Linked DNA regions of Oryzias latipes. The main gene of each other region encodes a partner of the protein of the gene in region 2 in a complex. Links are inferred from orthologs where the notes say so. Each region holds a gene or a part of one and is shown on either strand. Other genes may lie near its edges.

Region 1 (10,082 bases), on a different chromosome or scaffold from region 2:
GTGAGGCTGCTGATACTCATGTAGTGTCAGGAAGCATTTTGCAAGAAGAGCGAAGCTGGAGGAAAACAAGCGTGCATGAGATCTGCAGACGCTGCCAGGCTTCTTTAATCTGCAAGTTTGGTGCTGAAGGCAGCAGATAAGCAGACTGTTGTTGGCTTGAAATAACCAAAGTGTGAACCTGTGGAAGAAGAAACCCTGAGGAGTTCCAGATGAAGTGTTTGTAGGCAGACCATTAAAATCCTGGGGGGTTATGAACATTTTTGTTTTCCCACCAAGACTTGGATTAGGGGAATGCTCAGAATCAGTGTGAGAACTATTTCAACTATTTCAGTGCAGCTAACATGTTTCCCTTTGTTCATGCTACAACACAAATGCCTAATCATATTTCACCATGTCATAGTGAAATATGACGTGGTTGGGCTTCACTCAAAGAAACATTGAATATCTGCAAATTCAAAGAAAATCCTAGTTTGGAAGAAATACAGCTGGAAAAATCAGATTATTTCCTTTAGCACCGATTCTCTACAGACTTTGAAATCAAAAAATGTGTTCCTCCACTTTGGAGTGAAAGAGCTGAGCTAGAATATGTTAGAATGGAATTTGCATCAAATGCACCTGGACATGGCACAGCATCGGCTGTTGATGTTGTTGCTTCCCCTGGAGGGTGGCGCTCAGCCTGTCCGCTGACATACTCAGGATTCTAAAAAGCTAATGACAGAGAGGCGTTCATTAATGTCATTAGCAGAAAACTGTCACCGGCCAATTCACCAATGAGATGAGAGGAGTGCAAATTGCCCACTTGATGCATTGCTTTAATCACCATGAATGCAGATGCAGATTTGACGCCGGCTTGCGCTTTTACATTGACAGCAAAGGTTGTTTGTGTGAATTCATTGCTGAGATGAAAAGAGATTGCTTTTTCTCAAGATTAGCTTTATTTTTGCAAGAAAAAGAGCTGGGAGACAGTTCCATACTCCCCAACAAACATGGTTTATACTTTAGGCACACAGAGCAGTAAAAAGAAAAGGCAGTGAAGATACAAGCTTGGATTTTTGGAGGCAACAAAAGCACTTTGTCTTACATTGATCGGCAAAGGCACATTCAAGCCCTGCGACCAGCCCCGGTGCTGGCAGGGATTGGCACATTTGTCCGTCTCTCACAACACACGCTGCAGCCTCCGGTCAGAGTGAGGTTGCCTCACGGAGCGCACGGGCTGCAGCACCGACTTTGCCAGAGAGTTTCTGAGCTGTTTTAAAAGCATCCAGAGCAGAAGCACCAGCAGGATCAGAAGTCCCAAGAGCATCCCCAGGTACAGGCTCAGGTTCCAGCCCCAGCCCAGAGCCAGAGGCAGCGAGGTGGACGCCACCAGAAATTTTTTGGGGGCAGGCATGCGTTTCAGCCTGCTTTGGCCAGCCTTCAAGTCTTTATTCGCACTTCCCCAGAGGGTTGGACCGATGTGATGTAGCTGCTGGTAGCTCTGTGCAGGCATCCATCCTGCTGGCTTTGCCGTTAAAGTCCATTCAGGATCCTGGTTACATCCCCATCACCAGAACGAGCCTCCAGCAGGAAGGAGAACCTGTTGGCTTCTTAACCGGCCATTCTTTGAGCAGGAAAAGCTTTCCAGCAGCTGGTCTGCTTCTCCCTCTGCCAGCCTCCAGTCACAAAGCCAGCCTCCATGTTCAGTAAGGGGGGGGGGGCTCCTTTCCCATTGGCTGCCTGGAGTTTTCCCCTCAGCAATAAATCAAATAGCCAGGTGGAAAATGCCAGTGCTGGTTCCTTAGATTCCCATTCATCCTTTGCACTCCATACTGAGAGAATTTACTGGTCATGTTCAGGGTTGCACCTTTGTTTCCCCAAAATAATCTAAAGATGTTGATGTGGAAAGAACCAGACGGCTTTATTCCCTCCCCATCCAACATGCATCTAGAGTAGTATCAGCTTTACTAGCAAGTCAGTAGAGCCCAGATGTTTATATTGTATAAATAAACCCTAATTTGGTTTCAGCGAAAAACTGAAGGCTGGATGTCAGACACAGCTGGAGGAGGAGACAAACCCTTAAAGTGTAGCCCTGTGCATTCTGAGCTCCTCCCCAGCAAAGTTAAACCAGAACAGTTCTCTGAAACCAGATTAAACCAGCAGCGGTTCTTTACTGCCCTCATGTGTACAAACGGATAGTCTTCAAAAAGAAGTTTATTTATAAGAGCCATGGTCTACAGTGCAGGAAGCCAGTGGATGAAACGGGACACAGATCATGGAGTCAGCCTTTAATCTGCATCACATCAGGCAGTCTAAGATGAAGGAAACTGCCCGGCTTCTACAAAGGCTGAACATTTGCAGATTAAAGCAGCACTGAATGAGGACAGACCGACACTAAAAGCCATTGATTACACAACTGGATGCACATGGCATAAATGCTGAGACTAGAAATATAAAAATATTAAAACCTCTTTAAGGAAAAAAGAAAAAAGGAGCACCACTCCAAAAAGAGCAGAACATGCCGTCTAAAACTGGTACGTCATTTACAAAAAATGATTAAAAAGACTAACAATACATCAACAACAAGCAGGTCACTTCAGCAGCAGCTTGGAGGGAGCAGCGATCGTGGAGACTTCAGAGTATCTGTGGAGAAAAGACAACGTCAGAGTACGACAGCGTCTCCTGGAGGACTGCCAGCCTTCAGGAATCTGCATTCTGATTACACGACTGAGGATTTTTACAACATTCTCAGCTTAGAGGACAAATGCTACACATTTCTGAAACCATGTTCCTCCCTGCAGTGTCACTGAAGTGAGTAACAGGCCAAGGAGTTTACCATCAACAGTGAAGATGCTGGAGTCTGGAGCCGCCTTTTGTTTCCATGCAACTTTTCAGAATTATCCGATCATCTTAACACCTCTAATCTCGCGGTACAACTAAAGACACATTTTTAGCCATCATTTAATTGAATTTAAGGTTACTTATTGTAAAAAAAAAAAAATGTGGTTGGGAAGTTTTTACTGCTAGTTGAGCTCTCAGAAATTGTCAGATTCCTCTGATACTTTTTTAGAGTAATACAAATATTTTCCAACGATCCTTAAATAGAAGTACACAAAATCAAAGTACGGCAGCTCACCTGGAGGCCTTGTACTTCTCGCGGACAGACTGCTGGGCGTGCTGAGCGGCGCTCAGGAACATCTTGTGAAGGTCTTCGATGCACGGCATCAGGTCTACTAGCATGTAGCCCGTCATCTCTGCCAAGGATTTGGGCTGGAGCAGAGCAGAGAAAATGTCAGTGAACCAATTTTACATTTCCACAACCACCATGAGCCTCAGCCTGGCATGTGACAAACAGCCCCACGTCCCCATAAAGCATCTCAAACCAAAACATTCAAGCGTATAACCCTTCACATTCCTAACTTAAGTTGGAGGGAAATAGTCTCACCCAAGAGCCGCCGGTCACTGCATGGTTGGCGAGGATGTAGGCTGCAGCCGCCGTCTGCGATGGCAGGTACTTCAAGAAGGGGTCTGAATCTATCAAACTCAACTCCCCGAGGTACTGAGGACAGATCAAGCACCGTCAGAGCACATCCATATGCTTCTGTAGACCAACACGACGGACCACATGAACACTCACCATTGCCAAGCTTTCCACCTGTTTGTTGACGCCGTGGTGGCAGAAGTACTGAGTAAGAAACTGGTTTATCGTTGGTGCTGCCAGATCAAATGACAGGACTTTGAGCACCAGATGCTCCATCCTCAACACCTGCTTCTTGGTGTACGTGTCATCTGTGATGTAGACGAACTCTGCCACCTCAGGAGGGTAAATCTCTTCGAATTTCCTGCACATACAAAGTCATTCAACCTTTCCGAACCAAACTAGTCGTGTTTTCCTGGGCAGGATAATTGGCACATACGCAGCCAGCAGCATGGCAGCAGTCCCAACAAGCTGGAGTTTGCCCCTCAGGACGGACATCGACGAGAGGAAGCGATCAATGTAGTTAACGGCCAGATACAGCGTTTCATTGTGGAGCTTGTACTCTTCTCCAACCTCCACCAACCAGTCCACCAGGATGGCCCTCATGCTGTTTGTGATGTCAGGCTGCTTCTTCATGTAGCCGGCCTTCGGTCTGGTTTTCACCTGAAACAAATACCCGATTGTTGTAGCAGAGATGACAGGAGGGGAAGAAAGGAAAAGGAGAGTCTCTCACCTCCATCTCCCTCAGGTACAAATGAATTTCAGCTGCATATTCTGGGACTTCGTTGACATTAACTTGTTTGTCGTCCACCTCCACCAACGACATGTCCATGGGAGAATCTGAAAGTCATTTAGTGCACAGATGATGACACCTCACTTTGACACCAAAGCCAACATCGGTCATTACTAAACAAGCCAAGATTCTACAGCAGCCCACCAAAGCCGGCTTCCACAACCAACGGGACATCGAGGGCAGCCAGGGGCTGTCGGCATGTCAGGGCGTTGTGGACGGCCACAGGAGAGCGAGGGGCCGGGGCCCTGGCTCTGAGGGCCTCAGACACGGTCTTCTTGGTGCAGGCGCCATCAGGCTCATCCATGTGGATCTGGAAGGCCGGCTGCTTGACAGGCGGCTTTTCCAGGACGCTTTTCCCATAATCGTCAGCTTTACAGGATGAGGGTAGAGCAGAGTCCTGGAGGCAACAGAACACAAGAAAGGTGAGTTTCTGCTCTGAAGGCAAACAGCAGCAGATCTGCTTCAGAAGACAGAACAGTCTGTAAGGTAAACTAGGAGGAGTGAGGCTAAAATGGCGCACAGACTGAACATGAAACTACAAAGACCATCTCCAGAAGCAGATCTAAGACAGGTTCAGATGCTAAAGGCGAATGACTGTTATCACGGTGCTAGAACCGAGCCACAGCCGTGAGGAACCGGGAGCACAGCCGGATAACCGGCGGCTGGCGCCCCGCCGCGGAGCGGGCCGTGCGGCGGCATGCTACCTGCTTTGCGCCGCGGAGGCTTTGGGTTTTGTTCCGCTGGTGGTTCTGCAGAGCTCCCAGCACGGTTCTGTTGGCAGCCTGTTTGGGCGGAAGGTTTTCGCTGGCTGCAGGCCGGGCTTTGATGGCGCCTCTCAGCCTGCTGGACGGCATGTTCTCCTGGTTTTGGAGCTCACTCGCCGCGCTTCGGTTTGCCGCCGACATGTTTCCTGCAACAAACACTCGCTGCTGGCTTTGACCTTTGAACTCTTCGGGACCCCTCGTCGTTCGTAGCGGGGATCGGGTCGGGTGCTAGCCTGAAGTGGAGCCGAATAAACTCAAAACTAAACAGTTGAGATGGCAACGAAAAAACAGAACAGCAGCGCCACAGCAGAGGAGCGCGTGAGCGGTAGAGCGATTCCAAAGCGCGGGACACAAACACACTACGGTTCCATAGTCACGCGGGTCCACAGCACAACCGACCAGGACACGAACCACTAGCAAGCAGACATTTAGGAACAGGGTTCTGCTTTCTCTCAGTTCAAGTAGCCCGCGAGGATTGAACCAACCAATCACAAAGCGCACAGATGGTGACGCTGCAAAACTACTGGAGCCGCAGTGGTACAAATGTCTTGATTGCAAATTCAAAACCGGTTGGACCCGTTTGTCTGCAGCGGCACAGAGCAGCAAACGAAAGGAAACGTCCCTGCTCAAGCAGACGGCAGTCAGGACGACGTCCGTGGATTTTAACCGTCTGCAGACTCTTCTGAGCGTGTTTATTTACAAAAACTAAAATAAAACGACACTTTCTGAAGTGTTGTCAGATTTCAAGTGCTTATGAGCTTATTTGACCTGCAGTTAGTAAGGATTCATTTAAAGGAAAAGGTTCTCCAAATATAATACACTGGATTCTCTGTTTAAGGGTTTAATGGCCATTATAATAAAAATAAAGAAGAACAAAGCACGTCACTGAAGATGTGTTCAGTCATGTGTTGTGGGGATTGAACAGGCAATGAAAAACACCACAAAACATTTCTACATAGTTTAATATGGTCTGATCTTTAAAAAATCATATGACATCTTTTGACTATTTCATTTTTAAATAGTTTCTCACAGAGATTTTCATATAGAAATGCAGTCCGTTTAGCTTTGATTTCTGTCTATGAACCTGTGATATGTTATTAAATGAAAAAGAGGAGTCTGTATTAACTACCTGGAGGAATTTATAAAGTCTGGATTTAAGCAGAAATAATTGTGGATTGTGAAACCGACAGCTTCTGAAAACAGCATGGCACCATGACACAAACTATAACTGTCATTACATAAAGATGCAACATAGAAGCAGAACACGTGAATGGATTTTATTTCATCCAACCTCAAACATCATTGAAAAATTCTAACAGAGAGTTTAGATCATAGTTATCCAGAATCTCCAACAGAGATGACACCTTTGTTTTCACATTCTGGCCTTTGAACTTGAATTTATCAATGAAGAGGTCAGTGATCATTCCTGCAGGAAAAACAAATATAAAGAAATAGAAATTAGTGTCAGGAGACCAACAGAAATTAAGATAAATGTGGCTTCTGCAATGTACCATAAAGCCTCTCCAGATGTGCTGGCTGCTTCTTGTATTCCTCCAGAAGACTGGCAGATTCATCCAAGATGCTTCGATACTCTGGTATGAGAAAACTGGCGTTTCCCTCATGAACCTGAAGCTCCTGACAATTCCAGAAGAGATGTGGGTGAAGTGAATGTACAGAACCTCAAGTACATCACCAAACATCAAACCTTCACAGAGAAGAGTCGCTGGTTTCCTGATTTTAATTTCAATTCAGCAGAAAATAGGAATAAGACATCCTTCATTGTAGGAGCTATATATCCCATTGTGATATATTATTTTGCCTATTTCAAATACAATTATATACATTCTTTAAAGTGCATTTCTCGCTTATTTTCCATCTCTCTCTGTTTAAATGAAGCTTCCATCTGTCACTCCATTTCAAAGTGGGCAAACCTACATAATCAGCAAAGGATCAAGTCCGTTTTTCCTCCACTGTAGTTGCAGATGTACTGCAGTTCTCGGCTGTCAGTGACATCTGAAATGAATCTTTCCTTCATGTGTGCAGATGAACACAACAGCCTGCTTACTCTCAGAGCATCAACAAGCTGGACCTTTTTAGCCAACAGCAGCTGGTACTCCAACTTTGGATGAATCATTCTGAGAGTGTGGCTCACCGAGTCATCATTGATATCTGAAAGAGAAATGCATCTTTGAAATTCTTTTCTTGTCTTTACATGCAAACAAAAGCATATGTGAACGCAGAAGTGAGGCACCAACCATAAGAAATGTTGAGATTGATTTTCTTTTTGGTTGCTTCTTTAGAGAGAACATCACTTAGAATAGAAATAGTAGAGATGTTGTCGGACTGGAAGTGACCTTCGCCTTTGCTGAAACAACAAATTATTTACACCACAGATGCTACGTTTAAAGATGAAGCTCAGGAGGAATGTATGTCGCATGTAAAAAAAATCCACATCAAAATATTTGAAGCCGGATTGTAAAGCAGAATTTTCTTCCTTCATACATTGACTGGAACTTGGGCGTTTTTACCACACGGCTGCATTTACCAGTAGGTGGCTTCAAGCTGTGTGCCCAGAAAAGTATTGCGAAAATAGAAAGTGATGTCGTCTTCAGCAGGTGTTTTTTCTGGCACCTCTGGCAAACAGAAAACCACCCAGGAGTGGATCTCTGCAAAACTGAACTGCCCCACCAGGCTAAGACGGTTCATGGGTCTGAAGAAGACAAACAGACAGAAAACAAGACAGAAGGTCACTGAGTGACAGCAGCACTGGCTGACCTTATTAAGGTCTGCACTGAGGTTTGAACACAGCCCAGAACTACTGTACGGTGGTAGTAACATAGATGGTTATGACTATTGGCCTGAAAAACCCCTCCATAAGTTAGAATTCACTCGGCATACTTTGATTGGGCTATTTCTTCTCAGAAACTCTCATCACAGACAGTCAGTCACCTGGCTGGGTCGATGCTGTGGGTGCGTTGGTGGAGGGACAGAGGCTTGATCTGGTACTGGCGAACCTGACAGGTCTTGGGTTGCAGCCTGGGGGTTATGTAAGCCTGCAGGGTCCCATACTGTCCCTCAATAGACCTCACCTTGGAAAACAACCATGATAACACAGGAACAATGAAACGCATGTTTCAGCATACTGCACAGGGATGTTCAGCTAAGAAGAACCAGTCTATGAACCAACACAACTAGTTTTGGTCAAGTAGTTTGATCGAAACAGATGTTTACGGTTCATGTAATGTAACATACTCCCACAGGAATCGGCAAGCTCTGCTGATGTCACAGTTCCATCTACTGCATACCTTCAGTTCCAGTCTGGTGGTGTTGGCCTGACATCTGTATGTGGCCAGGAGAAAGTTACCGTTGGGTTGCTGCAAAAGGAGTTAGAAGAGTCTGAACATTAAGGCAGATCGGTGGCTTTCTTTGAGCAGAAAGCCTTGGCCTTTCTGCAAACAGCTCCATTTAGCTCACCTCAGGGTCACATTCACTGAAACTGACAACGGCCGAGTTCTTATCCACATCCAGCAGATCAATGGGAACATCACTCTGGGAGCAAACTGAAAGTTACATTCTGAAGGGTTTTTCTACGGGATCAGTTTCAACTGAGGACCTGATTTTCGGTTTACCTGAAGCAGCAGATTATCGATGGCAGTCTGGACCTCCAGAGTGAGGCTGTAGCTCGCATCGTCCTGGCAGAGAGTGAACTTGTCATTGATGCTGAACACGGGCACAGCAGAGACGGCTGTGCTGGACTGAGTGGTCTGCTGGTACTGCTCACGTCCCTGCAGGACTTTCCCCTGCAGCTGTTCCAGCTCCGCTCTGAAAGGAACCAAAACTGACTTCAACTGCTTCCATCCCTCCAGTTTCCAAAACCACTTCATCCCTTTCAGGGTCGCAGGGGTGCTGGAGCCTTTCGGAGCTACTGTTGGGTAAAGGCAGGGTTCCCCCTAAATGCTGCCAGTAATAACTGACTGGGTAAGAAGCTCCTACCTCAGTGCTTCCACTTTAGACTGTGTCTCTTTGCTCATCCTAAACTCATCTCCAGCAGCAGCCTCAGTTTTTTGCGATTCAGTGGTCAAACCAGTCACCCATCCTAGAAGAGGAGCAGTATTCCAGATTCAATTATAATGGTCCTCTGTCAACTAACAATGCGTGAAACCTGTGAATTCAGAATAGTTGAGAGGCTGACAGTGTTGTAAGGTTCAGGAAAACGTCTCTACTAACCTGTATAAGTGGCAGTGACAACCTCATCATAAGACTCTTTCCCCACACAGCCTCCCTGGATGGAGGTCACACTCTCAGACAAAACCTGTGACCAGGAAGGAAACGTTTCCGCTTTAGCCCTCAGGTCATGAAATGCTGATCAGGATAAATAGCTTTTTCAAACAATAACAGGACTTTTAAACACCAAAACAACAACTACAAACAAAAGTTCTGTTAAAGACAAATATAAGAAATTTAAAATGAATTCATCATTTTGCTTTGACAACCTGCTCAACAACTAAAGTTATGGATTTATGTTTCGCAAATAAATGTAACTTTTTTGTTTTTTTTTATTTATTTGAAATGCTTTATTTCAAGCAATCAAGGAATAATGCACAAAACAATACAATAAGCATTCATACAAAGACGTATCAAACTTAGGATAATAGATAATAGATATTAAATCAAAGATTGCTTGAAAGGGAGGAAAGGAAGCGAACAACTGAATTGAAATAGCTTCAGGTTTAAAAACAAAAGGATGCAGTTTTGGCAGAATGGATTTGTTGACAGAGATTAACTGTTAATTAGAATGAAGGAAGATGAATAAAACAACAAAGACTCCTGATAGAAACCTACATGCTCAAAGCGTAAGGTGGGCTCATTGGAACTGTCAAAGCCATAAACCTGCACCGTCCCATCATCTCTGCCCACCAGGATGTCATTCACGCCGTCTCCAACGATGTCGTACGCGTCGGCGCAGAGAATCCCTGACAGGAGACAAACGCCGTTTGCTGCTGAACTACACTTAGAAATGAGTCTGATACTCAAGCAGCTTCTATGAAAACGTGATTGAAAATATTTGATC
Region 2 (10,120 bases):
GGGAGAACACGTCAATGTAAGGGTGGGGTCATAGGATAGCACAAGGGTTAAGGACAGATTTTGCAGAACGATAGGAGTTCATTGCAAATCTGCCTGTGAGATTTGGGCAGGACTGTTGGAACGGAGTAAGCCAGCTCCCCTTCCCATCATCCATCTGTTTATGTGCTCTCCTGATAACTTACAGCCCCTCACACCCCTAACCTAACATTACCGGTGCAACAAAAATGGTGAGGAATATTGGAAATTACCCAGCCGGACAGTTTTGTGCCAAATGGCAACTCAGACGAGGAAAATAAAGACATTTATGGATCTATTTGTCTGCAAGAATGTCCGCCATTGTGAGGAAAATGCTACAAGAACTTGTCAAAAACAAAGTCTTTACATCAAAGAGAAATAGAGAAACTGTAATATGCACTGAGTGCTGTGAATTGACTGAAACATTCACACCTCAGCATCCTCCGCTCAAACCATTCATGTGACAAGTTACATCCACAGAGCAGGCATCAGTCGTTTAGTTAGCAGCCCAGTCAGTCAGTCAGTCAGTCAGTCAGGCTGCTGTTTGGGTGGGGGCTCATAGACGCGCCTTTTGTCTGCAGAGGAGCTCCAGACACAACAGTGGCCGGCTTCGGCCCCTCACAATGCCCCTCCATACAAAGGCCCACACACCGGGACAATGGTCTGAGCTCAGGGTGGGGGGTGGAACGGCCCAGCTGAGGTTACCCACCTGCACGCATCAGGACAGGACAATTCTCCACCCACCCCACCCAAACACCCCCCCCCCCGTTCCTCAGTTATCCAGCTATAAAATGCTGCTGCAGGTGTCTTCCTGTTTTGGTGGCCCCCGAGGAAGCAGGGAAATTCTGAAGGCATTCATTTTACTGCCGTCGCTGTGCCTCGTCAGAGACGGGGAGAGGGGCAGGGACGTCAGGGCAGGTTTGCACGTGGAGGTGCAATCTGCGGATGGAGGAAAGGCATCAAGGTGTGAAGATTGATTTTTTTAAAAACACACGAATCTTCACCAAAAAAAAGGAGCAAAACATTAGTTTTTACTCCTGTAAATGCTCATTAACTTCGTTTTTTTATTATGCAGCAAGCTTTTAAAATGTACCTAAAACATCGGTTACATATTTCCTCATCTGTTTTATTATTTACCAAGCACAAATTATAATTTTTTTTCATCTTTTGAGTCAATAATTGTAAAACTAGGATGCCCCACAAATGCCTTATTGAAATATGTTATATGCTGCTTAAATATATTTTTGCCTGAACAATTGCGCATTTCACTTCAATAAATGTAAAAATAATTCAAAAAAGAATCTTTTAGTTTGTTAAAATGATTATGTTAACCTGGTACAGAGCAGATGTCTTACACACACCATGATTCCTAAGAACAAATGTTTAACCAATAAGGTAACTGAAGGAGTCTGCAGCAGTTACCCCATCAGTTTTGGCTGGTTCTGATTGGTTGGCCAAAATGTCAATGACTAAAAAGAAACTCACTTCCTACTTCCAGATCTTTTGCATTCTTAGCTCTGAATCTGTGAGAATTTTTCCAAAAGATTTAAGGAAAAATAAATGTGGTATCCGTGTACTTAAATGTAACAAATTTCCATAAATGTGAACAAAAAAAAAAGTCAGATTCAATTCTCTTTTAATTGATTGCAACACATTTTATAACCACACATTACAAAATGAACAAATATTTTATCAGGCTCAGTTTGCAACCTTTTTGACAAAAAAAAAAAAAAACTACCCAGAAATTTATAAAGTAAATGCCACTTTGGATAACCGTAACTTAAAAAAAGAATTACTCTACATTTAAAAAAAAAAAGTTTGACATAAATAAGTTAGTATAATTTCTCAGTGTCTTTTTTATTTTATTTTTTACAAAAATATGTACGCATGTACACTGTAAAGGTTTACACGATCACATGACTGCGTTTGTGAGACGCGCCGTTTTGTGTCTCCATCCAGGTGGAGCCTGCTGTCTTTGAAGATAAACCAGATGTTAGCGGGGAAACAAAGAAGCTTTTGGAAGCCGGAACCTCCATCTTTAGCAGGTTAACAAGGGTGGAAAACAAATAAAAGCATTCAAGGTTATCACAAAGTCATACGATGTGAAGTCAACTCTGAAAACCAAATAAAAGCGAGTGTGTATTTGGTACAGGAGAAACATTTAACTTAGGTTTGACAGCCTGGAAACATGTGCATGGTCTTTGTCCTTCAAAAAAAAAATGAGTGCCTCACAACTCTGGGGATCGAAACATTTACAAAATAAAAGCATCAGAACTCCAATTTTAAAATAAATATTAAAAAAAAAAAAAGGAAAATAAAAGGTACTTGCTGAAATTTTTAATTTCATCCTGTGCCATTTCCTGTGGATCTTTAAAAAAAAGAAAAAAGAAAAAGTGGCCTCAACACAAAAAAGGGAAGAAAAGAAAAACACGTTCATTAGGCAGATGAGCTACATTTGTACCATTCCTTGCTGTTGAGTTAGGAAGATGACGGCATAAAGGCACACTGTTGAGAAACTAAAACCATGATTTTCTTTCTTTTTTTTTAAATGTAGCATTTATGGACTGGGTCAACACCACAGTGCCTTTCAAAAATATTAATAATAATAATAAAATGCAAACAGAACAGCATTTTGGAAACATGTTTCAAACCGAACACTTCAAGTCAAATCAAAATTCACACCTCTTTTACACAAAGGATTAAAAAAAAAAAAAAATCAATGTTTTTATGTGCTACATAGAAAACATATATATTTATTTATTAAATTATTTACACACAGGTAGTTAAAAAAAGAAAAAAATCAAACCTAATTGCACGCTGCTACATGGACTGCTGTTAGAGGCAGTAACATTTCAATGAGTGCCACAAACTTTAGTGTTTCTCTTCAGTGCTTCAACAGCGTCCTCCCCCGTCCTCAGGAGAGCTGATATGTTTCTGATGCTGTGTAGATCCTCGTCCAAAAAAAGGAAAGAATAATTAAAAAAAAAAAAAAAAGATCAACGCAGTCTTAAAAACAAAAAAACAAAAAAAAACACATGCACGCATACGCAAACACACTCGTACAGAGAAAAAAAAACTGGGAGGGGCACATCTTGAGCTCTGTTGGAGATCAGAACAAAAGACAAAAACAAAGAGGTTGAAAGGTTAGTACTTTTTTTTCTTTTAGGAGATGCAACTACTACTGCTAAAGTATTGACAGTGTTCTGAGGTATGACTGAAAAAAAAGAAGAAACTAGTCATTTCCAAAAACAAAACAAAACTATCAACTCAAATAAAGCTCGGCTGCATACCATTTACAAAAACGTGCAATTTTTTCAGTTCTGTTAACTTTTATTTTTACTAAGAAGAGACGAAAATGAACATGGGATTTTTTTTTACTTAAAGATAAATCGAAGTCAAAGTTCCGCTAATTTAACCTTGACTTTTTTTGCCACAACCTTTAAAGGTTCACACCTGACAGCTTAGAGCAGGTTTCTGTGCTCCTTCTCTCTTGTGGGTCATAGTAGACCTGCAGAACTCTCGTACTCTCCTCTGCAGCAGGGAGTGTACATGTCTGCGTGTGTTTCTGCGCGCGCGCGCTCAGAGACCTGCCCCTTCCCGTCCGCGCGGAGGCCACTGGCTGCTGACGTGTTACTACTACACTGTTGTTCAGCTTGTTGTTTACAGTTCAGCAGACGAACATCGGCCGCAAGGAGGAAAAAACTTTTTTTTTTAAAAATTCTTTATTGGCGTGTCATATAAATCCTCTTGGTTTAATAAACAGACTTCACTTTTTTGCGCTAGAATGCGTCAATACAAATAAAAAAAAAAATGATGTAAAATTTAATATCTTTTTTTTTTTTTAAATTCGAGGTTAACAGTTTTTTTTAAATTGAAGTGGTTCGCTCACCGTGTCGCCGTGCTCACGTTGGTCTCTTGGGGCTGGTCTTTCTGGGTGTGTGTTCTGCAGACTGGCTCAGGCTCGGACAGCTAACCTCCTCCGGGCTGGTGTGAGACTTCTTACTTGGGGCCGAAGGGTCTGCAAAAATAAATAAATGAGTAAAATAAACTATATATTACAGAGAGAAAAAAATGGTCGGGGTGCTCAATGTTCTCTGGGATTTTACGGCAGTTTCCCCCGCTTTACGACCCCCTCATCCCGCATACCAGTACCGCGAGCACAAAGCTGCCGCCCGGCGATCTGTTACACAGCAACGGGTCGTTTGATGCTAATGTCATACCGTGACACGCAGGTCTCTTCCTCAGCCCGCCGCACTGCTCCGTGCACTCCATCTGAGCGTCAGAGCGGCTGGGAACTGTCCCGACACAGTCATGATTCCCGTTTAGATCCACATTGTTATTCCCGGGGCAAACGCCTCGTTCTCGCCGCGGCAGGCGGGTGTAGAAACTCGGCAGGTCTCTGGCGTTCACCAGCTCCCACTCCAGCCTGCTGTTGGGCAGCGGTGTGTCAGTCGCGAAGTCGAAGCCCCACTTGGCGGAGGCAGCCTCTTCAAACTCCCGCAAATGTACATTTAAATCCCTCTTTAACTCTTCGTGGTCCACCGAGCCGAAGAGGCTCCTGCAGGCTGACGGCTTCGGGTGTTCCGACACCCGGGGCTCCGTCCTCTCCAAAGTCGGGCTCCCGCTCGAAAGTCGAACGTTAGACATGGTTAAGCCCCCCGGAAAAAAGGTAAAAATTTCAAGCAGCCGGGAGCGTCCAGTTTTCAGGCGAAAAACACACCTCAAGAAGAAAAAAGAAAAGAAAAAAAAGGTATGTCCTCCTAGTCACGGGGAAAGATCCAAAACAGGCGTGAAACGACCATGCGCACGTCGAGCTGGAGGCAAACACGGCTGCGATTTCCTGAGCCGAAGACGGCTTACGCCAATCATCCAAACGACGGGAGAACGAACCAAAGCTCGCTGTCAACGTCGCTCCGTACAGCGGGAAGCGGAGGCGAACCTCTCGGTACCCAATATGGCGATTGAGACATGTAGTGGGGATTGAGAGGGGAGGTTGACTTTGGAGGGAGGGGGAGGAGGGTTACACATGATTGACATACGGAGCCATTTAAAACCCAAGAAGCGCACTCATTGGATGGAGCTCTTTAGACCCGCCCACTTTATTTAAGGTAGACCGAATAATTGCATAAGGCATGCTGTTCTAAACATATTACTTACCTTTTTTATTTTTTTTACAAAGTAAATAAGTTCACACATTTGATGTAACTTAATGTACAAGTTTCAAAAAGTAAAATGGATTAAACATTTTAAGACATCTAAATTTGAAGAAAAAAATTGGATTGCAACCATACAAATAGTGCCAATATGTTCTAAAACACACATATTCAGTATTTATTTTAAACATTTTGGATGTACAGTAAAATTAATAAATACAATTAAAATGGAGTAAAATCCAAAACAAAACTGAAATTGTTGCATCATATTCTTTCAATGGACACTAATAAATGAACCTGTGGTCCTAAATGGAGATAAAGTCCAGTAAGAGGACCCCAAACTGAGCTGATTTAGTAAAAGCCTAATAAACATTTTAATTCTAAAAAATTTTCTTACCGTAACAAAATCTGTACATATATCGGAATTATTGACTGAAAATATTTATATATGAAGTAATAACATATAAAGATGAAAATAAATTTCTGCTATCCTAAAGTCAACTGTTTTTTTCCAGATTTATCATAAAGCTTCTTAGTTTTTACTTTTTATTCACATGCAAAAAAAAATAAACACCCCTAAATGAGAATAGAGGGCAGCTTGATGCTTAAATTGAAAGTGGCGCAGTCGTCTTTAAATAGAACCAAAAGCCTTTTGACAGAAATGATGCAATCTAATTTAGCTGTGAGCAATTATTTACTCAAAGGGTCAGAGCAGGATAGGAGGTGCAGCAGTGTTCACTCAACCACTGTCAAGCCAACAGCGCCCCCTAGAGCTTCATCTAACACACAACTCTGGAAGCACAAATCTTTTAATACCTTTAAATACTAAAGTTGTCTGTACGATTACATTTTTAACAAAGGCCACATGGACTTACAGAGTCACCATTATGAGTCCGCTACAGTCTGCTTTAGTCGCCTACCTTGCCTGTAAGTCCTTTACGGCGTACAGGCACTGCGGTGGGCGGTGCAGCCTCAAAGACCGAGCCACTTGATGATGTAGTAGTTCCTCTTGCCCACTCTGAGCAGAGTGAGTCCGTTGGACAGGACGTGGAGTTTGGGGACGAGAACCTGCTCCGGTTTGTCCGCCCGTGTGTGGTTGATCCACACGGCTCCGTCTGAAACCATCTGGTACCTGCAAGCGAACACGACGGCTCAGTCAGGATCCAAATCCCATTCATTTCAAGTGTTTTCAACCAAACCCAAAGCAGCAGGATAGAAATCTTTGTGTATTTCAACATTTAGTGGATTTGATTCCTCCGACAACATCTAGGGGAAAAAAAGGTTTGGTGGAAATGTGTGAACACAAATCTTTGCACAAACGCTGGTGTTTGTATGTAAAGAAAAAAATAATAATAAAAAGCAACTTTTTGAGACTTTCATGGTAAAGCAAATGGAAAAGTCCACAGAACAAGTTTAGCATAAACATGAATATACATATGTGCACCAAACCAATGTGATTGTTTTTGTCCCCATTTGGTAACAGATTTAATGCTTTGATCGAGTGGGAATCCAGTAGTTGGGCTACAACACATTACAGGCAATTGACTCAAGAGCTATAAAGCCAATAAAAGAGGGACACTGCTGAATTTTAAAGCTATTTTTTTATGTTACGTGTGTTTATTACAGTGACCCTGATGAGCAAATCCAATCAACAAATCAGTCAATGCAAAAACTACATTAGATGATTTGTCTTCGAGTTTCTGATCACAGTCAAAGTTCAGTGGTTGCTCAATCAACTCCACCGCAGTTTTGAGCCAAACATCCTTATGCTTTTCATCTTTAAAACTCAAACATCATCGTCCAATCGGTGATGTCCCATAGTACCTACCTTTTCAGGTTCCATATTTTGTTTCATTTTTTTAACATTTCCTTTTTATTTTTACGTTTTAGTTTGTAGAATTTGTTTTGATTTCTAAAATGTAATCCTTTTTTAGTATTTGTTGTGCTTTTTTAATTGTCATCGTGATCTTTAGTATCTTTTTCCGTTGAGTGATTTGTTGGTGGGATTTACACTTCAGGGCCACCGTAGTTTATTGATGGCATCTTCAATGTCAGCAAATTCTCTCGTTTGTGAAAGGTTGTCGTCAAAGATCCTCTTTTTGCATCAACTTTCACATCTCACTGCTTTGTGAAACTAGTTGATGTGATATTCCGCTGCAACGGGCTACACATCAGTTGTTTTTTAAAGCCTGAACTAAGGCCTCCCTGCAAACATCTTTCCTAGTTCCTCTCCTCTGTGAGAAGCGCTTCGATTTTCCACTCCACTATGTTGGCTTCTCTTTTTTGGGGACGTCTGTTTGCACCTACTCTTCTCAGGAAAATCTTTATGCACAGCTGCATGGAGGTTGTATTGAAACGTACATCCCACAGTTTAAGAAAAAAAAGTCAAACTTGTGCCACATGTGCGTCTAAAATCCACTCCGCTTTTTTTTAAAAATATGGTCCCAGACGAAGACTGTTTTCACATGACTTAACTCGTCCTGGAATCAGTAAAGTGGCTGCAAACTGAAATACTGCAGTACATTTACGACCAGGCAGTGGTAGAGCTCACCCTCTGGGACCTTCAGGGATGGCGCTGACCAGACGGCAGGCATCGATGACGGAGATGCCCGGCTCCAACAGCAGCTCATGGAAGGGAGCCTCCCTGAAGAGCTCCTGGAGCTCCTCATCGCTCATTTCCTCCAAGGCCCGCACGCTGCTATGATACAGTGCATTGGTACACCTGCAATGGAGAACACACACAGATGCAAACAATGGTGCTGCCTGTTTTCTGGAGTAAGAGTTTCTCCCCAGGGAGGCGTCCGGACTAGATGCCTGAGCCACCTCAACTGGCTCCTCTCGATGTGGAGGAGAAGCGGTTCTACTGCGAGCTTTCTGTGGTTTACAGAGTTTCTCGCCCTATCTCTAAGGAAGCGTTCAGCCACTCTACGAAGGAAGTTCATTTAAGCCGTTTGTATTCAGGACCTCTCTCTTTCAGTCATGGCCCAGAGCTCATGACCATAGGTGAGCACTGGAACGAAGATGGACCGGTAAATTGAGAGCTTTGCTTTTCGGCTCAGCTCTCTCTTAACCACAACGGACTGGTACAGCTACCGCATAACTACAGAAGCTGCTCCGATCCGTCTGTCTCACACTCCGGTCTTCCTTCACTCGTCAACAAAGATATTTAAACACCTCCACCTGGGGCAGGGACACTCCACCCACCCAGAGACTAACTTTCTCCTGCTGAGAACCATGGCCTCAGATTTAGCGGTGCCAAATGCACAAATCCATAAACCCTTAATGAAATTAGAGGGCGCTGATCCTGACCTTTTGGCGCTCTCCAGACCCTCTTTTCCATGAACCAGCTTGGTCACTTCTGCAGCCAGCCGCTTGTGTGCGAGTCGTTTACCGGGATCTTCCCTTTGCAGCTTCATCAGACTCTCCACTTCTGCCAGAGGCAGGAAGGTGAACAGCTTCAGGTACCTGCAAAACAGCGACAACAAAAAACAAAAAGAAAAGATTTTGCTTTGACCCTGAAAAGTAATCAGTAAACGCTGGCACTCCAAATGCGGACATACCCCTCCACGTTGGCGTCAGGCTGCCTGAGGAAGAACTGGTAAAGTTCAAAGGGGGAGGTCTTGTCTCTGTTCAGCCATACAGCGTTCCCTGCCGTTTTCCCCAGCTTGTCCCCCATTGAGTTGGTCACCAGCGGTATGGTAAGGCCGTACACGTCCTCACCACTCACCCTGCAGAGAAACAAGCGTTTTATTTTTAAACAAGATGTCCGACATAAAGAGTCAAAAGCTCTGCTTCAAAAAATGAAAAAAGGTATACTTGTCTAAAAAACTGACAAAGGAACTTCTCATTGTTTTTTCACACACATAAAGAGATTTTTTCCTCTAGTATTAATATAAATCTAGACTTCTTAATAGTCCCCTGCTGACTTTGACAACACTTTGAATAGGGAAAAAGTGGAAATGACCTGTTCAATTCACCTGGCTCTCTTGTTTGGCTGCACAAAACGGACATTTTCTTTGTGAATTTGAATCTTTCCCGCATGAAAAACTTATTTGCAGACAGGCATTGAAAGGGCAGCCTTTGTAAGGATAGTGGGAAAATAACTTTTTTTTGGTGGGGGGGTTTACAAATCAAACAGCCCGACTGATTTGGCAGAAGGCCCAGTAAATAGTGATGGAGTATCAATATCCATGTATTGAAATATAGATGCCCATACATCACCAATTTTGGTATTTATTGCTCTATAAAAGTACAAATTAATATTTGAGAAAATAACACTACATATGTGATATAAGTAAATAGGTAAGTTGCTCCAGGGTTTGTGCTGAAACACCCCTCCCACCCCACAGCTTAATGAGCTGCTCCATCAGTCACGTGACCAGAGAGCCCGCGAGTTGAGCGTATACATTAGCATAAACAACACTGCACGAGTACGCAATTTTGGACAAATGTTTACGTTACTTGGTCAGTTTGAATGGTATTTGTTTTTAGGATTAATAATATGCTTCAGGGAAGACAAAAAAAACACCAATAAGAAATTACCACTAATTGGTATTGAATATTTTATGCAAAAAGTAATTGGTATCGAATGTGAAAAGTGTGATATCGCCCATCACCAGCGCAGAGGGCGTTTCAACCAACATTTTCCCCGAGTTAGTACGTCTCATGGTAGAACATTCCAGATATTCGTATGAGCATTTACTTCTGGATGTACTCGTGGCCTGACATCAGGTTGCCCAGCTGGTCGGTGCCCCCCAGCTGAATTCTGCAGCCGCGGGTTTGGTTCAAGTGGTGAAAGTCGAAGGCCTGGAACACCTGGTAGGTGAACTCCGTCAGGCTCATCCCGTCCGGGCTCTTTAGCCGGGCCTGCACGCTGTGTCGGCTTAGCATGGTGCCCATCCTGAGGTGTCTCCCGGCCTCCGACAGGAACTCCACCACCCCCCAGCTCTTAT
Region 3 (10,002 bases), on a different chromosome or scaffold from region 2:
CAAACTTTTTTAATTTCAGTCATGTCTGAAAATCTTTGGTGTTGGACCGGACGGAAAAGGAAAGAGGGGAAGAAGAGAGAGGGACGCTAGAGAGAGGGGGGGGTAGGGGGTGATAATAGGAGGGGAAGGGGGATAAGACCATGAAGCAGCATAAAGCAACAAGTTTACTGGTTGTTAATCATTATGGTAAGGTTCAAATGGAGTACAAAAAGGGCGGGGCCCGTCCACACACACACTCAAATGTTATAAACACACCTGCTAGCTGCAAAAATGTCCACCTGTCGACATGTACACAAAACAGATAGTGTTCACACGCATACTTATGCCTTAAAACCAACTAGTGTAAAATATTTCAGTCATTCAGTCATGCAAGCTATTAGTGCAAAGGTGAGCTAACACCAGTGCTCAGGTGAGGTTTTATGTTCTTCTAAAATGGATGGTGGAACGTGAAAAGAAGGAGGGAGAGTGCCCAGCCATCCCCACCCCAAGACCCCCACCGCAGCAGCAGCGGCAGCCGGAATCCCCCCAACGCCACACGGGAACCGGCAGCGAACAACCGCCGCCCGGGCGACCAAGCCCACCACCCAGGCCAGGGCCAGCAGGGCCGCCGCAAGGCCCCCAGAGCCAGAGGCCAGGGAAGCACGGAGGGAAAGAGAGCGCCGCCCCAGCCCAACCAGGAGAGCAGCCCCCCCGCCGCGCCGGGAGAACCCAACGCAGAGCCCCACCGGAGAAGGACGCCCACAGCCCCAAACGAGCACCCCACCACCACCCAGGAGTTCCGGGCATCCCCCCGCTCCAACCCCAGGTACGAGCCAGGACCCCCCAAGGGAGACCCGCTCCGCACTCCAGGCAGCCATCCGCCCGGCCCACGGTTGGTCCAGGGAGGAGCGAGGCAGGGGGCCCGCCGCCCCCGCCCAGGAGGGGGGAACCCCGGGGAAAAAAAGAGGGCCCACAAGGGGTGTTATAAATATGGCCCGACCAGGCTCGGCCACAGTTGGAAATTTGGCGGGGCCCAGCACTCAGGAGCAAGGACCAGAACCCACCCCCCAGGGACCAGACACCCCCGGCTCAGATGTAATGTGAACTCCCCCACCGCGCGGAGAGAGCACCGCCGGGCCCAGGAAGCCGGCACCCCGGGGACACGGCCGCTGTTGCAAAGGGGCCCGCAACCCCCACCAGGGAAGAGGCAGGGGACAGATGGACCCAGGTCCCACCTTCCTTGCAAAATGTGTGTGCGTGTATGTGTGTTTGAGATGGTGTGTGTGTGCATGTGTGTGTGTTTATGTTGGGATGTATATATTGAGGGGGGAGGGGTGTGTGTACTAAGGGGGGTGCAGTTAAAATTGGCGGGTAGGGCACTAAGGGGACATCTCCTGATTACTCACAGTGAAGTCCCCTCACCCTCCCCAACAAAGGGGCCCTAAATGTCTAAGGTGCGGTTAAAATTGGCGGGTAGGGTGCTAGGAGGACATCCGCTGCTTGCTGGCAGTGATGTCCAAGCACCCCCCCTACCAAAGGCCCTACATGTCTAAGTTGCAAATAAAACCGAAAGAGGGGGGGCCCACTCCATACGGCAACCATAGAAGGGGGGCCACTGCCTAGTAAACCCCCCCCAAGGCTCATCGCAGGCTAAGCCCCCCACCCCCTCACCCTATTATGAGGTTATATGAGGAAGGGGGTAATTTGGGGACAGCTGATAGACTGTCCCCCGGTGGTCAAACAGCTGTCCCCCGCCCCCCCCCCCGCCCCCCAGCAAGGGGGCCAGGCCCACCCAGCCCAGGGGCCCCACCCCCGGAGGCGCCGACACCCCAGGCCCAGCACCACCCCCCCCCACACAGAGAGAGAGGAGCCAGAAAGCGCCGGCCCCCCCCGGAGCAAGCCCAGGCCCCCACCCCCAAACGCCGGCCCTAGAAGAGCTCTGGTCAGGCCTCGACGGGACCGAGGCAGCCAACCGGCCGGAACTTTTTTAACATAAATATAAATAAAAACAGACAGAGACATTAATCCAGAATAACTCAAGTTAAAGCTTCAATAACGTATCATATTTTGCTCTCCAAAAAAATATATTCTGTCAAAATTATACAAATATGAACATGCTGTAGAACAAAAGAAACAAAGCCTGGAAATATTAATAATAAGAAATTACAAATCAAAAAATTCCGTTTTCTTTGCTCTTTTATCATTTTTTAGAGCTGGACTCCTGCATCATTTTAGCAATAATTTCTTGGTGTGTGACGTCCTGTGTGTGTCTTTATGAAACATATCAGAGGGATTGGATAAAAAAAAACTTATTGTGAATATTATTTTTAGGTCTTATAAAACATTAAAAAAACTAAATCATAGAACTCATCAGTGGGATTACTCCAAAAATATTTGGCTTTTCCCTAATTTTGTGCAACACCAACAGTAGAAATCCTCAATAAACCTCAATCCATTAGTTTATTTATGATCTCATAAAGTGCACCTGTTCTCCTGCTGTCTTTATGTCAAATACTGACACCAACTAAATGACAGAAAAGACACGTAATAAAAATATCTACAATAGTTGGTAAATAATGACATTATTAACATGAGCTGCTGAGTGATCCATCAGCATGTGATGATCCAGGTGTTAAGGTGGGCTGCGCTCCTCGCAGCCTGCGCCCACCACCCCTCCCCTTGCTTCTGACACACGTCTCTATGACAGGAGCGCGCAGCTGCGGCCTAGAGTTGATTGTTAGAGTGAAAAAGACACCAAATCACCTATGTTAGTGTGATTCACCCAGCCACCGGTGAGTTGCACCCCCCTCTCAAATTTTTTGACTTGTTAGGTTCCAAAACCTACCGCAAAGAGGTGTGGGCGCAAGTGTCTTGCAGCGGAGGGCGGCGGTCACGTGCACGTTGGGTCTGCTGTGTCGGAGCAGGGAATTGTGGGAAATAATCCCCATTGCCTGCTCTGATCGAAATTGGGTTGAGCACGGGTTTTTCTTCTGCGTAATTCCTTTTCATGTGGATGTTTTACGTTGTTTCACTCTTAGTTATTAACCATAAGTGTGGAGAGGGGAGAGGATTAACAAATAGGTGCAACGGTCTCTGTCAGACGTGTCAAAATAAAAGCGTAAAGTGTTGACTGCTGCAGGCATGTCAAAAGAAAAGCTGAAAGACTCCTCTTTGACTTAGGTATTCCCTTTTGTGTAACATTGCCGGCACAGAAAATGCTGCTCCTATGAAGTGCCTGGGCCACCGCCCACCTCGCCCATATCAAAAACCGCCACTGCGCACACGAGTGCACAACAGTACGAGCACAATTGAATAATCTAATACGAGCGCAAGGAGTACTAATCTACATTCAAAGTTAGGCCCAAAACATTCCTTTTTGGACAGGCTCATTGCCAGACAAGCTAGTAATCAGAGAATATTAAACTTACATGTTTAAATTAAACTTAACAATAACAATTAGTTTTTAGTTGGCTGCTAGAAGTTTGAAGCTGGGTAAACTATGGTGCGTTGTGGTTCTTTCCTTTATTCTTGTCATCTCCTCTCCATCTCTCCTCTATTCTTGATCCTTATTAATCATTTAGTTCTCCATGCCTCTGTTTGGTGCAGTGCGATTCATGTACTCTCCCTTTTGCTTCCAGATACCAGTTGGCTCATCCCTGCTCCTGTACCTGACCAAGTACCTCGTCTGGGGCTTGCCTCTACTACTGCTCCTACACTTGGCTGTGCATCCTGTCTCCGGCTCGTCTCGTGCCCCCATCCGCCCCCCAACTCAATCTGGATGAAACTCATCTGCTGGACTTTAAATATGTAGTTGTTGGGTTTGGTAAGCTCATCCTTCTCTAAGAGGTCTGGTACATCGCCTGTCTGTCCTGGGGGAGGATCCCTCGTTCATGTTGGCACCCCAGAGGTTTCTTCTTTTTCAAATCAGTTTTTCCTTACTGCGCAGGAGTGTCTAAGGGCAGAGATGCCTAGCTTAGTTTAGTCTGTTTAGTTAGCTCAGTTTAGTATTTTCCTATTAAATCCCATGTACTCATGAACCTTTTGATTTTATGTTTACCTTATTATTACCTGTACGAAGCCCATTGAGATGACTGTTGTTGTGATTTTGGGCTATACAAATAAAATTGAATTGAATTAAATTAATCCGTGCGCACGGTTTATCAGATTTTAATTCTTTTTTAATCCCTGGCACCTGGAGGGCTCCGTATCCCTACGACCCCGTGAATATTTACAGTTTGTTAACAGGGATAATTTCGTATTCAAGACAAGCAAGAGTTGCATTCAAAACAAAGACTAATCCTGTTCAAAACAGACACGTCAAATTATATGTGGTATTCATATTTTTTTATTTGAAGTTGTGCACAAAGTATTAGTTTTGTATTTATACACGTGTTTTGTATTGACAGTTATCTTACCCAATACTCGCCCATCTTGTTTTCTACTTCACAAATAAAACATTTTCTGAACAGCATATTTTTCTCTGTTCATTAATCACAAAGATGTGAATAAAGAAATACTCAGAAGTACAATTTTTAGCCTAATTTAAAATAAAAATATCCTCCATCAGAATTTATTTTTTAATTTTTTATCGAAATGAGGTCATTAAAAGGTTTTCTTATGTGGCTAGAGAGTAGAAAAAACGAATTAAACTTGAATGCCACATCGTCCGCAAAAAACGTAGGACGTGACGTGACAGACGTCTGGAACGTCATGACGTCAGTTGAAAGAGGGCGCCTCGCTGCTGGCGGCGAGTTTAAAGAGTCCCGACTGGAAAGAGCGGCATCCATCCCCGCAGTTTAAGGCGCCAGAGAAGATGTCCAGCGACAGGTACGGACTTCACAGCTGCTACGTTTAGCTAAGAGACTGCTTCGCTATCAAACACATTTACAATCCTTTCTGTTATTTAGACTTTTGAAATGTTTTCGCGCGTGCATCTCCCATCACCGTTGACATACTAGCCTAGGTCGCTCAGATCGCTCGTGTTAATCATCTTTCGGCATTTCTCGGATGCTGATCGCGGTTGTTTTTGTGGAGAAATCTGCTAACATCATGTTGTTGTTTAGTGAGTCGCTGATCCAAAGAGATCTGCCTGAAAACTCAAGCTGATGACCGATACCGCGCTTTTCTCCACGCAGGCCTCCACTCTTTTCATGATTAACTTTATTCATTGGGGTCATCTGTGGCTGAAATTCCATTTTCCATTTCAAACCCCCAGCAGTGCTGCATCTGTGCATTTTGGAAGATAAATGACGGCGCGTTTGTTTGAAAATTTGCGCGGTCCCGTCGCTTGTTGTTGTGTCCACGTCAAATATGGCGGGCGCGCACAGATCCCCGTCTTGAAGGAGCTGGTGAATCTGTTCCTGCAGGTTTTCTGGTTCAGATCCACGCAGCACTGACTCATCCGAAGGCTCGAACTCTATCGTTTCCAACTGTCTCTTCTCCATCCAGCATGCCCTTGCGGGATCTGCCACGCGCGGGCCTCCAAAGCCACGCGCTGTCTCAGTCCGCCAGGCTGCACAACAAGCGCAAGTCCAGAGGCCACCTGAGCCAAGGCCTGGACACCGAGTGCACCCCAACAGAGCTCATCCAGCAGTGGTCCCCCCCACAGAAGCACCAGAGAACCGCCTGCAAGGGCAAGGAGAACGACCAGCACACGTTTGTCCTCGCCAGGAGACCCAGGAGAAAGAAAGACTTCAGAGGAGGTGATCAGGCTGCTGCTCAGAGGGCTGCAGGGCTGGGATGTCAGCTGTCTCACTCTGTTCTCCTTCAATCCTACAGGCATTTCATGGGATCATCTGCCAGACGAGCTGCTGCTCAGGATCTACTTCTACCTTCCTCTTCAGGACCTCCTTCGAGTCTCTTTAGTCTGTAAACGCTGGCATCGTTTGGCGTGAGTCTCTGTCACTGAATGTCACACAAATATGCAGTCCAGTTTCATTTTCTATTTTAGCCCCAGTTTCAACATGCAGATTTATTTGGTTTTTCAGAATTTTCACTCTTTTTTTTAAATTACCCACTCTGATGAAAATGCCGTTTTTGACATGTTCTCGAGCCATTTTTCAGATGACGGAGGACATGAATGAAGAAAATCAAGCTTAAAAATGCATTTCTGAGTATTTCTTTAGTCAAACTGTTGTAAATAAGGAGCAGACAAAAAAATGCAGTTGGAAAAAGATCGTATTTGTGACGCACTGCAGGCGAGCCAGAAGCTCCCTGTTCCGCTCCATTCTTGATGCATTCGAATGGATCCATGTACGTCTTTCTGTTCTTTGTCCGAGCGAGCCGGCATCTGCCTCAAAACTGTATGGCTCGATAGCTTTAGTGTTGCTCGGCGCCAACAGTCCCGCCCACAATTCAGAGGTGAATTTCGAATGAACTCCTGCTGTCCTTTTGTTTTGCCTAAAAGCAGCATAATCCTGATCAAAGACCCCTCAGGATGCTTAGAAAATAGATCGGAGTGGGTTTTTAACTTAAAATAGGTTTTGAGATTCTGATGAACATGAAAGACTTCAGTACTACAGATGTTCAGTCTGCCACACAGTTTTCATTAGCTTCAACCCCAGAAGCGCCTCTTTGTGTGTGATGATTGTTTGCCGGTGTGAGAGCACTCTGCTTGTGTTTTCATCAGGTTTGACGAGTCTCTGTGGCAGAGCGTGGATCTGCAGGGTCTGACCAACATGGGTCCAGCTCTGCAGCAGGTGCTGAGGACCGGAGTCCGCCGCCTGCGCTGCCCGCGCGCCTTCGTCGAGGAGCAGCAGTTTGCAGGAACAGAGTGAGCTTTGCAGATGGTTGGACCTAGGCCTGCACAATAAATGGCAAATTTATTGCTTGCTATTATCATCGCAACATGGATCACTGATACTGCAAATTGCACGTTTTCCTCATATCATGCAGCCCCAGTTGGACCACAACCATCTGGTCCAGTTTTTTTTTTTTTTTTTGCAGACCTGTTTTCCAAGCACTATCCTCACTTTTTAGATGCTCAAGCTGAGCGATTAGACACGAAGACACACCAGTGAGCCACAGACGCCTTCCTTCACTGCAGGACCTTTTCTCTTTTTGTCCAGACCTCTGCAGCTGCTGGACATGGACCTGTCCAGTTCCATCATCCCCATTTCAGCTCTTGAGAGCATCACCTGCCGCTGTCTCCGCCTGGAGCGATTGAGCCTGGAGGGTCTGCAGCTCTCAGACAACATCATCAGGTGAACAAATGGTTGTAGTTTGGTTTATATCCACCATGCTTCAGAGTCGAGCTTCTCTTCAAGGCCTCCGGGTGCTACTTTGCCGTTCACGGTTGGTTTGGTCATCAGACTCATGTCAAACTCTTTGTTGCAGGAGTCTTGGGAACAACGTCGGCCTGCAGCAGCTGAACCTGAGCGGCTGCTCCGGCTTCTCTGCTTCTGTTCTGGCTGACATGCTCAAGTCCTGCTGCAGGTCAGTGAACGCCTCTAAAAAAACGCACAAAACTTAAAAATAAAGTAAACTAATTCATGTATGTGATGAGTTGATTTTGCATGCTATATTAGTGTTGTCATTGTGTCCTCGTGGGTTTTGTTTTGCAGGATAGAGCAGCTAAACATTTCATGGTGCGGCTTCAACAAGGACCACGTGAAAAGTGTTGTTAGTAATGTCAGCCCCAGAGTCGTCAGCCTGAACATCAGCGGGTACAGAGAGAGCCTCACGTTAGACGGTAAGCCGTGGAAACCTGATTCCATAGGAAGGGGACTCCTCCATCAGTTCTACATCAGAAGTGCCTTCGAGGAGAAATTCGACTGACGGTTGATCACACTGGTTTTTACAACAGCAAAGCTGTTTGAGGCTTTGTTTGCTTAACCAACCAATCCAGAGGATGGAAACAGAAATCAGACAACACAAGCTGTTATAGCTTAGTCACAACTGCCCTCACGGGTCTATATGGAGCATGTGGGGGGGCCCGCACATAACGTCAAGGTTGTAGATCACCCAGTGAGCCCATAGCCCATCTTCAAATCCTCCAGTCTGCACATAAAGCCTGTTAGTGCTGTTCAAATGATTAATGCTGTTATAGTTTAGTGTTTTCCTTTTTAATCGGATCTGATTTCCACAAAGTCTGTAATCAGGACCCCTGTTAGTAAAGTTCTTTCTTTATTTTTACATTTAAACTCAAGGTGATAATGCATACAGGGGGAAATGGAAGTGTGACCAAACTCTATGCATTACATTTTTTTAGTTTTATTTTCAATTTTCTTTTCCTGCAATGCCAAGTGTGATAGTTTCTGGGAATAATCATGAAATCTTTTTGCTGTCACTGATGGGAATGGCGTGCGTGTTTTACAGATGTAAAGATCCTGGTTGACAGATGTCCTGAAGTTCAACACCTGGATTTGAGGTACCGTCCCGCTCCAGCCCAGAGAAACAGAAACACCAGATGCGTTCATTCAGAACTGCTCTTCATTAAAGTCCCACTCCGATCATCTATTGTAAAAGGGTTCCCAGTTGTCTTTTAAGTACGCTTATGCTGTTTTTAGCAACAATCAAAAGCCTGTGTGGTTCTCTAGGACACAGAGCAGTTATATAGAAATCCACCTCTGAGTTGTGGATGGATTTGTTGGTGCTTAATTATCTTTATATATCTCCATCATGAGAAAAATCCCACAAAAACATTTTAAAAACACAGTTTTTAATTGGAGTGGGTCTTTAAGTAAAGGGTTCTCCTCAGATGAACTGGATTCCTAAGTTCTGTCTCTATCAGAATTTCACTAAGTCTTTGTGTTTCAGTGACAGCACCCTGCTGATGGCTGACAGCTTCCTGGTTCTCAAACAGCTGAAGGATCTGCAGCACCTGTCCCTGAGTCGCTGCTATCACATTCACCTGGCTGCTCTCACGTAAGTCCTCACCTGGAGCTGCAGGGTGGATCTTCAGCGTCCTCCGTCCTAATGAATCATTGCAATGAGAGAGGATTGGACCACAATGGACCATGCTCATTAAACATGAACCAGGATATTCAGTTGGTCCTTCTTTTCAGTCACCTGTAGGTGGTAAAATTAAGTCTTTTTTAAAATTTGATTGGGATTAAATGTAATCGTCACAGTAAGCCGTAAGGCTGTAGCTTTGTCTCTTTACAGTTCAGTAACCCCTGACTCATCATTCTTTAGATGCATATAGGATCATGTGCTCTGTTCTTTGTTTAAATATAAGCTCTTTGCAGAAAAAGGGTGGAAATGTGTAAATGCTGATTGTTGGCTGAAAAGTGAAAATCTGGTTGGTTTGAACAAATTGAAGTTCTGCAGACTCAACTTTCTGTGTTCTTCCTGCAGGGATCTGGGACAGACGCTGCCCTCTCTGCGCCTGCTGGACGTCTTCGGCCTCGTGCAGGACAACCAGCTGCCGTCTCTGAAGAAGGAGATGCCTCACGTCAGCATCAACTCCATGCCTTTCTCTAGTGTGGCTCGCCCTACGCCCGCCAGCAAACTCCCGGGGTCCCACGGCGACCGCAGCATGTGGAACAGGAAGTGCCGCCTCAGCTTCCAGCTCTGACCGCGGACTCAGTCCTGTTTTGTTTTTTTAAAGGGACAGTTTGAGCTGCAGAGCAGGATCTACATGTCAGTTCTAGACGAGGCTTTAATCTCTCTGGTACCAATGACCCATCAGTCCTCGATGCTATGTTGGCAAACTCAAAGAGAATTGTGTCATTTAGAAAACATTTGAAGGTTTAGCCACGTGTAGTAAGTTTGAAAGCATTTTAAATCTGTTGAATGTTCTAATAATGTTAGAACTTTTAAAAGGACGACACTCGGATCAAGGCATGACCGGAAAATGCTTTTGTTCTTTGCTGCTGTTTGAAAGGAATCGGTGAGCGGTTTTCCTTTTGCTGTCAAATGTCTGGCTTTAGTTGGTGCTGAAAGCAGTGTTATGTCATTGTTGGATGATGGGAGGAGCCTTGTTTGTGGTTCCAATTCCCTAAGGCTGTTATTTTTTTTTTATGCCTCTGTTCTAAGTCAGCATTTAATGATCCTTTTTAATGGATTTTACCTTCAGCGATT

The links.
Region 1: the proteins of cdkn1b (region 2) and ccna2 are in contact, whole or in part, in a crystal structure (PDB 1JSU), measured with the Homo sapiens proteins. The link is inferred for Oryzias latipes from reciprocal best matches to the Homo sapiens genes CDKN1B and CCNA2. Residues at the interface, in NP_004055.1 of Homo sapiens: Lys25, Pro26, Ser27, Ala28, Cys29, Arg30, Asn31, Leu32, Phe33, Gly34, Val36, His38, Leu41, Thr42, Asp44, Leu45, Glu46, His48, Cys49, Asp51; in NP_001228.2 of Homo sapiens: Met210, Ile213, Leu214, Asp216, Trp217, Glu220, Val221, Glu224, Met246, Arg250, Gly251, Lys252, Leu253, Gln254, Leu255, Tyr280, Ile281, Thr282, Asp283, Thr285, Tyr286, Thr287, Gln290, Arg293, Met294, His296, Leu297, Lys300.
Region 3: the proteins of cdkn1b (region 2) and skp2 are in contact, whole or in part, in a crystal structure (PDB 2AST), measured with the Homo sapiens proteins. The link is inferred for Oryzias latipes from reciprocal best matches to the Homo sapiens genes CDKN1B and SKP2. Residues at the interface, in NP_004055.1 of Homo sapiens: Ala181, Gly182, Ser183, Glu185; in NP_005974.2 of Homo sapiens: Arg294, Asp319, Val321, Arg344, Tyr346, Asp347, Gly369.

Annotation. Positions count from the first base shown.
Region 1 is NC_019868.2:204,455-214,536, reverse strand, and holds ccna2 (cyclin-A2), read right to left. Parts: upstream 5,521-10,082; 5' UTR 5,153-5,520; coding exon 4,952-5,152; intron 4,645-4,951; coding exon 4,392-4,644; intron 4,295-4,391; coding exon 4,188-4,294; intron 4,118-4,187; coding exon 3,894-4,117; intron 3,819-3,893; coding exon 3,614-3,818; intron 3,536-3,613; coding exon 3,422-3,535; intron 3,247-3,421; coding exon 3,113-3,246; intron 2,620-3,112; coding exon 2,568-2,619; 3' UTR 2,173-2,567; downstream 1-2,172. Other genes in the region: bbs7 (Bardet-Biedl syndrome 7 protein), read right to left, coding at 6,304-6,437, 6,523-6,646, 7,077-7,180, 7,267-7,376, 7,557-7,721, 7,961-8,100, 8,317-8,385, 8,486-8,560 and 4 more. UniProt on the Homo sapiens protein: Cyclin which controls both the G1/S and the G2/M transition phases of the cell cycle. Functions through the formation of specific serine/threonine protein kinase holoenzyme complexes with the cyclin-dependent protein kinases CDK1 or CDK2.
Region 2 is NC_019864.2:11,432,480-11,442,599, reverse strand, and holds cdkn1b (cyclin-dependent kinase inhibitor 1B), read right to left. Parts: upstream 4,984-10,120; 5' UTR 4,663-4,983; coding exon 4,236-4,662; intron 4,034-4,235; coding exon 3,918-4,033; 3' UTR 3,905-3,917; intron 3,115-3,904; 3' UTR 1,635-3,114; downstream 1-1,634. Other genes in the region: yars2 (tyrosine--tRNA ligase, mitochondrial), read right to left, coding at 6,141-6,300, 7,720-7,890, 8,478-8,633, 8,729-8,896, 9,871-10,120. UniProt on the Homo sapiens protein: Important regulator of cell cycle progression. Inhibits the kinase activity of CDK2 bound to cyclin A, but has little inhibitory activity on CDK2 bound to SPDYA. Involved in G1 arrest. Potent inhibitor of cyclin E- and cyclin A-CDK2 complexes.
Region 3 is NC_019870.2:24,272,987-24,282,988, reverse strand, and holds the start of skp2 (S-phase kinase-associated protein 2), read left to right. Parts: upstream 1-4,686; 5' UTR 4,687-4,792; coding exon 4,793-4,806; intron 4,807-5,427; coding exon 5,428-5,681; intron 5,682-5,757; coding exon 5,758-5,869; intron 5,870-6,607; coding exon 6,608-6,751; intron 6,752-7,046; coding exon 7,047-7,181; intron 7,182-7,314; coding exon 7,315-7,413; intron 7,414-7,541; coding exon 7,542-7,669; intron 7,670-8,295; coding exon 8,296-8,347; intron 8,348-8,736; coding exon 8,737-8,844; intron 8,845-9,276; coding exon 9,277-9,496; 3' UTR 9,497-10,002. UniProt on the Homo sapiens protein: Substrate recognition component of a SCF (SKP1-CUL1-F-box protein) E3 ubiquitin-protein ligase complex which mediates the ubiquitination and subsequent proteasomal degradation of target proteins involved in cell cycle progression, signal transduction and transcription.